2 linked regions of the Bombyx mori genome follow. The protein of the gene in region 1 interacts with the protein of each later gene in a biochemical or structural test. Links are inferred from orthologs where the notes say so. Each region holds a gene or a part of one and is shown on either strand. Other genes may lie near its edges.

Region 1 (4,250 bases):
AAACTATATCATGCTGCATGCATTTATTAAAAAGTCATGCACAATACTCACAGTCATCTTTGAAATCTTTGAATGCCGCAACATCATTCTGATCTCCAACAATAATGCACAATAATTTCCCGACAGGCACTCCCTTTGTACCGGCCGGAATCAATATTTTGGCCAGGTAACCTTCTTCAGGTGTCTCAAAGCCCATAGTTGCTTTGTCAGTTTCAATCTCGCACAGAAGATCGCCTATAAAGTAGAACAACAAATAAATTAATCCAAATGAATACACAATTTTATATAAAAAAAAACAGTAATTGTTTGTATACAGGTCACTGAAAAACACGAACAACATATTCTCTTCTTTTTCCAACCAAGCATACATTTTATCATTTAGAGTTCAATATTTGTACTCTCCCATTGTAAAAGAAAAGACAGTTCGCAAATGCTATTGATAAAAATCATTTTCATTTTTTTTATTCTATCAGGAATTATAAGTCTTGCCGTTTTGCCACCTGTCTTTGTTTTTGGAATAGATTTTGACATACTTTTCAACAAAATGCAAAAAGTTGTGAACAAATTTTAATGGAATATTTTGGTGCAATTACATCTTAACTACTTCCATATTAATATACCACATTTAATGTAAGTGAAACAGTAGCACACAATTAGTGTAATTGTGTATAGGTATAAAGGAACTTTTCCTGAAAATTAAGATAGATCAAGTATATTTGTATAGTTATTCACGCCCTGTTTGTTATTAATTACAAAATTAAAGATCGAATTCTCTTTACTGTTAATTTTTATACAAAGAAAATAAATTCACTAAAATAGCCTATTAATAACCATGTTTCCAAGCTATACCTTCACTAAGTTTGTCCCCTTCCTTTTTTTCCCAGCTTACAATTGAACCACTCTCCATGGTTGGCGAAAGAGCTGGAAGGTTGACCTTTATATGTGATGGTAGACTCGAATAATACCTCATCTGAACAGTCCATTGTGGTGTAGATAGAACTGTCTGGTTCTGTGCATGTTCTAACAATCTGAGAATGATAAAAATATGATAGTTACTCTTATATGTAATTTTAGTATGTATTAGAATAGTTCTTTATTGTGTCTAGACCGCAAAAGGAAAACCATGACAAATATAATATACATTTTAATGACCTCCATTCCGAACTACTAGATTTAAAATGTATAGTTTGCATAGATGAATTAAATATCACTTAATGTTTTTTTTTTTTTAAAGACTCAAATGTTGTATAGTGTAAGCATCAATCAAACTGCCATTAATTCCTAAGATGATTACTAGCAAACCTCAGACTATCATTTCTAATAAGGACTGACATCAAATCTGTTGACTACTGTAGGCTAAATTTATGATTCAATAAAGTATTGAATTCATTTAAATATTTTGGACAATCACAGATCAGATTTAGCAGTAGGCAGCAGCTTGGCTCTACCCCTAGCATTGTTGATGCCCATGAGCTACAGTAGCCACTTTCAATCAGGTGGGCCGTATGTTCGATTGCCTGCTATGGCAATAAAAAATAAAAATAAATCATCAGATACAGTGATACTTAAAATCAGGTCATGTTCTTAAAAAATAATCTAGTTTTGTACAAGTTAATGACAAGGAATTATCAGTCATCCAATGGTAAAAATTGTATACTAAAGTAAAGTATCTATGATCCCATTCACATAAAGATAAGTAATCATGCTTCTTTTAAGCACTGTGTTTGAGCAGTGATTTGTTAGTAATTAACATTTTTATATCACTGATGTTATTAAAGTATAGAAAATCTTGGAACGGTGTTATGATATTAACTTTATAGTCCTCAAAGTTTAAAGACAGCTACTCAGTAGAAAGATAGGATATTCAACATAGATTATAAATGAATGTTCTATTATGTCTGTTAAATTAATTTTAATTATTTTGGTCAAAATTTACTACAATATGTAGCAAATAGAAATTACTTTACTTTGATTTTTATTTTTATTTATAATTTTAAAATATCATAAAAAAGTATATTTCTTAAATTTATCTTGTTTTAATCAGAGTAAACGATCTTAAGGGTAGATCAGAATTTTGGGTTAGTTAATGTGATCCAAATATGGTTTTTATACTTATTTTCAGATTTTATTAACTTGCTGTTAAAATATATATATATATTATAAATGATACAACAGATCACACCTAACATTTAATCAGTTACAAATAAAAATAATAAAATGTATCGAATGTCACTGAATCATGGATAAATTGATTGTGCTCGCCAAATTGTTGATGCTTGAAACATTATTGAATTAGACTTATATGATATTTTTTTAAATCACAAATTCTGAGTTTCAACCATCGGACACGTGTGATTGCCGGTACATACTAATCGCAAAACCATGACAACTGCCAAGGTGAAGAGCAGCGACTGACGTTGTGGGTTATGCAACTACTACGAATTACAGCGCCAATTTAGGATAGTTTACAAAACATTGTAACATACACTTAATTTTGAAATATAACTAATTATACGTAATGTCTAATTAATATACTATCAAATTATTTAATTTCGAAAAAACTTACTTATTCGTAACTTTCCTTTTTGCCAGTTCTGTACTAATGCACCTCGTAATGTTCGACCGTATAGCTTTCTTAAGACCATCGCTTAAGATTTGATTCCGTAACACAATTGTTCGCAACATTATCAATATTTTTTACTAAAACTATTCCGTCCAGATGAGCGGGACGGTTTTTTGGAAACCGTGAGATCGACCTTCTGCAATCTGTAGGTCGTTGAGTTGATAAACTTGACAATTGTTTTGATTGACATTTGATGACATCTGGATGTCAGACATTTTTTTCTTTTAAATTAAAATGAACGAGTTTAACAAATGGGTGAAAAAAAAACTAATAGAGATATTGGAGTAAAGCAAAATTATAGAATAGAAATCATAACTATTTTAAAGGTTAACAATAACAGGAAGACCTTTCACAGAATATCTTATTTTGCGCTGTAAAACTGCTTTCTCTCCGATTTTGTAATTTTGAAACTTATACTGTGTGGTATATGTGATGCACAGAATACATATTTTTTTTTTCTGTATTCTGAGATGTGATGAAATGTAAAAATGTAAATTAAGATAAAATCTCGGTTAGGAAGTATGTCTTCACAACAATTTTTTTTTTTTAACTATACGAACTATAACTAAAATGATGTTTTACTCTATAATTACTTAAAAAACTTAACTCAAGATGGCGGCGGCATTTACATTGTAGATGTCTATGGGCTCCGGTAACCACTTAACATCAGGTGGGCAGCTCGCTGAGCTCATCCATCCACCTAGGCAATAAAAAAATAAAATAAGCTTGTCGGGCTCTTATAATTTAGTTGAAATTTTAGTTAACTCTCACTAATTAACGATATCGATTTTAGCCTTTAAACTAATAATTTGGTAGTATGGGCGTTGCTTCTTTTGCCTATCTCAAAGACAAATAAAACAAAAATATAAATTGTTGACAAATTCATTTGCCGTCAAAGTCACAACTGTTTTTCTTTTCTCTGTCAACTTTTGTATCGGAGAGGTTTACCAAAATGGTGAGAATTAAATTTTAAAATATTTCAGTAATCTTTCAGTCCTCATGTATATAAAATACTTAAGTTAAGTGTATGTGGTAAATTAATATTAAAATTATGGTTATTTTACGTAGTTCTGTTGTAGTCGGGGTTGCTGTTCGGTGTTTGGAAAAGTTAAAACTTTAATGCTTTTCAGGCCAAACGTACCAAAAAGGTTGGAATTACTGGCAAATATGGCACACGTTACGGTGCCTCTCTACGTAAAATGGTCAAAAAGATGGAAGTAACCCAACACGCAAAGTATACTTGCTCATTTTGTGGTAAGGTTAGTATCGTTTTTTTGGTCTAAGTTACTAATTTAATTAGTCACTAAGTAATCAAGAATCTGTTTAGATTGGTCAAGAACAATTTATATTAAATGTTTACCTTTTAAATCTTAAGATCCAAGTAATAAAAAAAAAGAAATAAATCTTGTAAGGAACCATATTTATAAAATGTTGAGGTTAATTCAATGATAGTGGTAGAAGTCGCTAGGGAGCTCGCTAATTAAATCAGTTGTTTTTGTTGGAAGAAAAGTGCAAGTAATCTCAACCGTGTTGTGCTATTTTGTGAAGATTGTTTATACACCTATTTGCTACAATACTTTTCATGCACATTTCTCATCAACCTGCTAAGATCAGTACTACTAAGTAT
Region 2 (4,524 bases), on another chromosome or scaffold:
AGATACACTATTCATATATTTTAATTTTTATTCAGGTACTGTTCACAATGATGAATGATGATAGTATTAAAAACGACATTCTTTGAATATATACAAATATATATAATCAAATGTGCACAGCTTGATGTTGTCAATTTATATATTTCCCTTAGATTCATTGGCTATGCATAAAATGACTAGGTGAACTGCTTACCTTTAGCATCCTCTGCTGAATAAGGCATTAGAACTTTAAGGCCTGGACAGTGGCTGTACCAGGCACCAAAGCACTGGGAATGTTGTGCGGCAACACCGGAGGCAGCTCCATTAGGTCCTCGGAATACTATTGGCACTGGTACTGTGCCAGCTGACATATAGAAGGTCTTGGCGGCTGAGTTTATTATCTGGAAGTGAATTTTTTTACTAATGTAGTTGGATTTTTCGGTTCGTATATGTGGATCATGACCCGCTTAGGCTTAAATCGTTGTGGAAACCATCACATTTTATGGATTCATCATAAAGTAATTATAGACTTTTATTTATTTATTTTTTATTGCTTAGATGGGTGGACGAGCTCACAGCCCACCTGGTGTTAAGTGGTTACTGGAGCCCATAGACATCCACAACGTAAATGCGCCATCCACCTTGAGAATAAGTTCTAAGGTCTCAAGTATAGTTACAACGGCTGCCCCACCCTTCAAACCGAAACGCATTACTGCTTCACGGCAGAAATAGGCAGAGTGGTGGTACCCACCCGCGCGGACTCACAAGAGGTCCTACCACCAGTAAGACTTGTCGTGATTATAGGTAGAAATTTTAATTACATTAGAAAATGGATAATCAAGTTTTAATCTGTAAGATGTAACCTTGTGGCGCTTTTATTTACTTTTTTAAAATTGACAATATCAACAGACAAATCTTTTCAAGTTATTTAGAAAGTTAATAATTATGGATGACTATCGGCCATATTTTTTTTAGTACATTCTTATCAACACATGACACACAAAAGGATTTATATTTAAACATGTATTTATGGGATTCATTACGTATCATTGTTTTAATCTTTTAAATTTTCGGAATTGTTGTCATAATGCAGTTTTATGTTTGTATTTTTTTGGTCTACCTATCTGCCAGTAGCCTCGAGGGCCTATTCAGCCTCCACTGTGACTGAGGTGGCTGAGGTCATGGACTTAACCTCAAAGAGCTTGGTAATAAAATCCATAGCAAGTGTTTCACTGAAAACAACCACACATTGAGCATTTCCAGAGAGAAACTCATTGGGATATCCCTTTTCTATATTTTTTGTTACATATTTGTTTATTTATATTTGTGATTTTTTGGTCATTGTCAACATTTGACATAACACCACCAATTGTGTCATGGACATTACGAGGATTTTGTTCATTAAATACAACTTATCAATTTTATCAGGACACTCACATGATCAATAGCTTGCATAGAGAAGTTAAAGGTCATGAATTCACAAATAGGCTTGAGCCCTGCAAAAGCAGCTCCAACAGCTATACCGGCGAATCCTGCCTCTGTGATGGGTGTGTCGATAACTCTTTTATCACCATATTTCTTCCATAGACCCCTAAAATTATTTGTTGGTTTTCATATCTTGTTCATCTTTTGTCATCACATGAAATTTATTATTTAATGATTGATTAGTGCTTCATGTAGTGTGCATTGACATTATTTAGAACCATGCTGGGGAAGCTAAAACTCACCTATGAGTCACCAACTAGATGCAAACTTAGTGCAACAGTAGGGAATTTATATTCATGTATTTATGTTAGTAGTAGAAATAGAGGATGTAGTAGTAGGATGTCTGTGTTCACTGAATAATACAATGTACACTTTAGATATAAGCCCATCTGATCATAGTTCGAAGTCACATGCAATAATACTTTTGGAATAAAAGTTACATGCCCAGATTAATTAATGTTACTTATCTGGCCTTTAACTGTGACGAGACCGGTACGCTAAATACTGATAGGCTTAGTTTATAATTCAGAGCTTAAAATATAAAGGTTGTAAACTTTAAGTATTCTATGTTTCTATTGTTTCATATTAAGAGAAGGCATTATAGCTGAGCATTAACACTTTTATATTTAAGTTTTATTTTGTCTGTTTAAAGAATTTAATGTTTTCATAATCTTCATGTATGAAGGAAGATATCATTCTAAATTTTCAGGATTAATGGCATTAAAATCTTATATGAAACAGCGTTCTTTTATATGATGATAGTTAAATGTCTGCACACACTTAAATATATTTTTTACTTTTGGATGTGATTTTTATTTTTCAGATTTTCAGAATTTTGTTCCAACATATTCGATAGATATTATCTAGTATAAATTACAGAAATTGTTTTAAACTATAAATAGGTTGAAAATATTATGTATTAATGAATTTCGATCCATTTTATATGATTTATATTTCATTGGTTAGCCAAATTGCATTCGGGTGTTTGTTTGTTTACTGCAGTCGTATCGACAGTACATCGACTGCACTATCGATTTGCTAACGATAACATTGAACTTGACAATCTGTCAACAAATGAATGGGTTATGTAATGATGAAACGAATTTGGATTACATACAATCTATTGTGAGCTTAATTGAGATAACAGAGAAGATTAAAATAGCAAATCAAGTTGAAATTTCAGCAATAACTAGTAAATATAATAGTCGACTGTTATGTACATACGATAGGTTAGAATGTTTTACCTTGTAACTTTGTAGGCACCATCGTATTGAGCGACTTCCTCTCCCAAAACGAAGACTTTCTCGTCTCTCTCCATCTCCTCGTCGATCGCTTGATTTAAAGCATCTCTTACAGTCACCGGCTTAGAAGCCAGAGCTTTCGATGTGGCAAAACTGCGACGGGATAATCGAGTGAGCATCCCGAGAACAGCCGGCGATGATTTTAATGCCATTTTAAATATAATGTCACTGTTAAATAATTTTTGCAACACCTAAACCAGCAAGGTGGTTTATTGGCGAGGTAAGATCTTAGTTTTGTCTAAAATGATATTAAATTCGCGAATGAACCGCGACGAAGGATGAATGGAGGTCGTTAGTGTATCCATTGAAGTTCGTACGCATAACGCATGACACTGTGACATTACAGTAGTTGTCAAATTTGTTAAATGTCAGAATTTTTCTTTGTACGATTGAAACTGAACTACGGTTTAATATTTAAACTTCAAATTTCAAAATATATTTTAAGCCGACAATTTTATTACGTTATTATCATTTTACTAGTAAGTCCATCGAGCTTAATCCTTTTATTTATGAAATCATCGATCATGTCATTCGATTTCTTGGATTCAGTACTTATTACTTAATTTTAAAATAGGAGTTTTTTCATAATAAAATTAATAAATCTGCAAAAAAAATTTTTTGTGTGATCAAACTTTTAAATTCGTTACTTTTCTTCGACTAAAATGATAATAAATGTTTCAGCTTATATGTATAGATGTCTCTACTAGAGAGAATTCAAATTCAGCACATGCATAGAAGTAATACTGTTCTGTGATCATTACAGAGATGGCGCTGTAAAAGGTAATGTACATCTATAGAATTAAAAAACACGAGACAAGTCATAAAATAAAAAGAGGGATTGAATGCGGCATTCTCGAAATTGGTTGAGGTATCTATCTTCCCTGGGACCTGGAAGCGGAGGCGCTCGCTGCGGATTACGCGTGGCGATGCGATCTCCGCTCTAGGGGGGAGCCGCGTCCCAGCGTGGCGGAAGTTCGAGCGCGTAAGCTTCAATCTCGGCATGCCGTGCTCGAGGCGTGGTCTCGCCGACTGGCGGACCCCGCCTACGGGCGACGGACCGTCGAGGCGATCCGCCCGGTCCTCTCGGACTGGGTGAATCGCGACCGAAGGCGTCTCACCTTCCGAGCGACGCAGGTGCTCACGGGACACGGCTGTTTCGGTCGTTACCTGCACCTCGTCGCCCGAAGGGAGCCGACGCCGAAATGCCACCACTGTAGTGGCTACAACGAGGACACAGCGGAGCACACGCTCGCGTACTGCCCCGCTTTCACGGAGCAGCGCCGCGTCCTCGTTGCAAAAATAGGACCGGACTTGTCGCTTCCGACCGTCGTGGCTACGATGCTCGGCAGCGACGAGTCCTGGCAGGCGATGCTCGACTTCTGCGAGTCCACCATCTCGCAGAAGGAGGTGGCGGAACGGAAGAGGGAGAACTCTTCCTCCCTCTCGGCGCCGTGCCGCCACCGCAGAGCCAGGGGTCAGAGGAGGGCATTTGTCCAGCTCCGGCCCCTATGAGGAGGTAGTCTCCTCCCGGTGATGGTCACAGGGCGACCTAAGGGGGTTGAGACTGCGCCGCACGCTACTGTCACTCTAGCGCGCTGGCACCAGGAGGTCGGGACGACGCGTTGCCGGCTGCGGACTGCGATGCGGTCCGCATTTTCGTCGTACTGTGGAAGAGCAACCCGGTCGGCAGTGACCGGGTTTTGACCCTGGACGGAGATCGGACGTCGGGTGTAAGAATGCAGGGGAGTCGCTTAGTGGG

What was found.
Region 2: the proteins of dihydrolipoyllysine-residue acetyltransferase component of pyruvate dehydrogenase complex, mitochondrial (region 1) and pyruvate dehydrogenase E1 component beta subunit form a complex in vitro, tested with the Homo sapiens proteins (2 studies listed by BioGRID and IntAct, with this or other methods). The link is inferred for Bombyx mori from reciprocal best matches to the Homo sapiens genes DLAT and PDHB.

Annotation. Positions count from the first base shown.
Region 1 is NC_085109.1:9,393,243-9,397,492, forward strand, and holds the start of dihydrolipoyllysine-residue acetyltransferase component of pyruvate dehydrogenase complex, mitochondrial, read right to left. Parts: upstream 2,801-4,250; 5' UTR 2,686-2,800; coding exon 2,567-2,685; intron 1,029-2,566; coding exon 850-1,028; intron 235-849; coding exon 52-234; intron 1-51. Other genes in the region: RpL37A (ribosomal protein L37A), read left to right, coding at 3,576-3,578, 3,754-3,882.
Region 2 is NC_085112.1:15,809,747-15,814,270, forward strand, and holds the start of pyruvate dehydrogenase E1 component beta subunit, read right to left. Parts: upstream 3,133-4,524; 5' UTR 2,918-3,132; coding exon 2,709-2,917; intron 1,825-2,708; exon of another isoform or gene 1,571-1,824; coding exon 1,417-1,570; intron 381-1,416; coding exon 194-380; intron 1-193. UniProt on the Homo sapiens protein: The pyruvate dehydrogenase complex catalyzes the overall conversion of pyruvate to acetyl-CoA and CO(2), and thereby links the glycolytic pathway to the tricarboxylic cycle.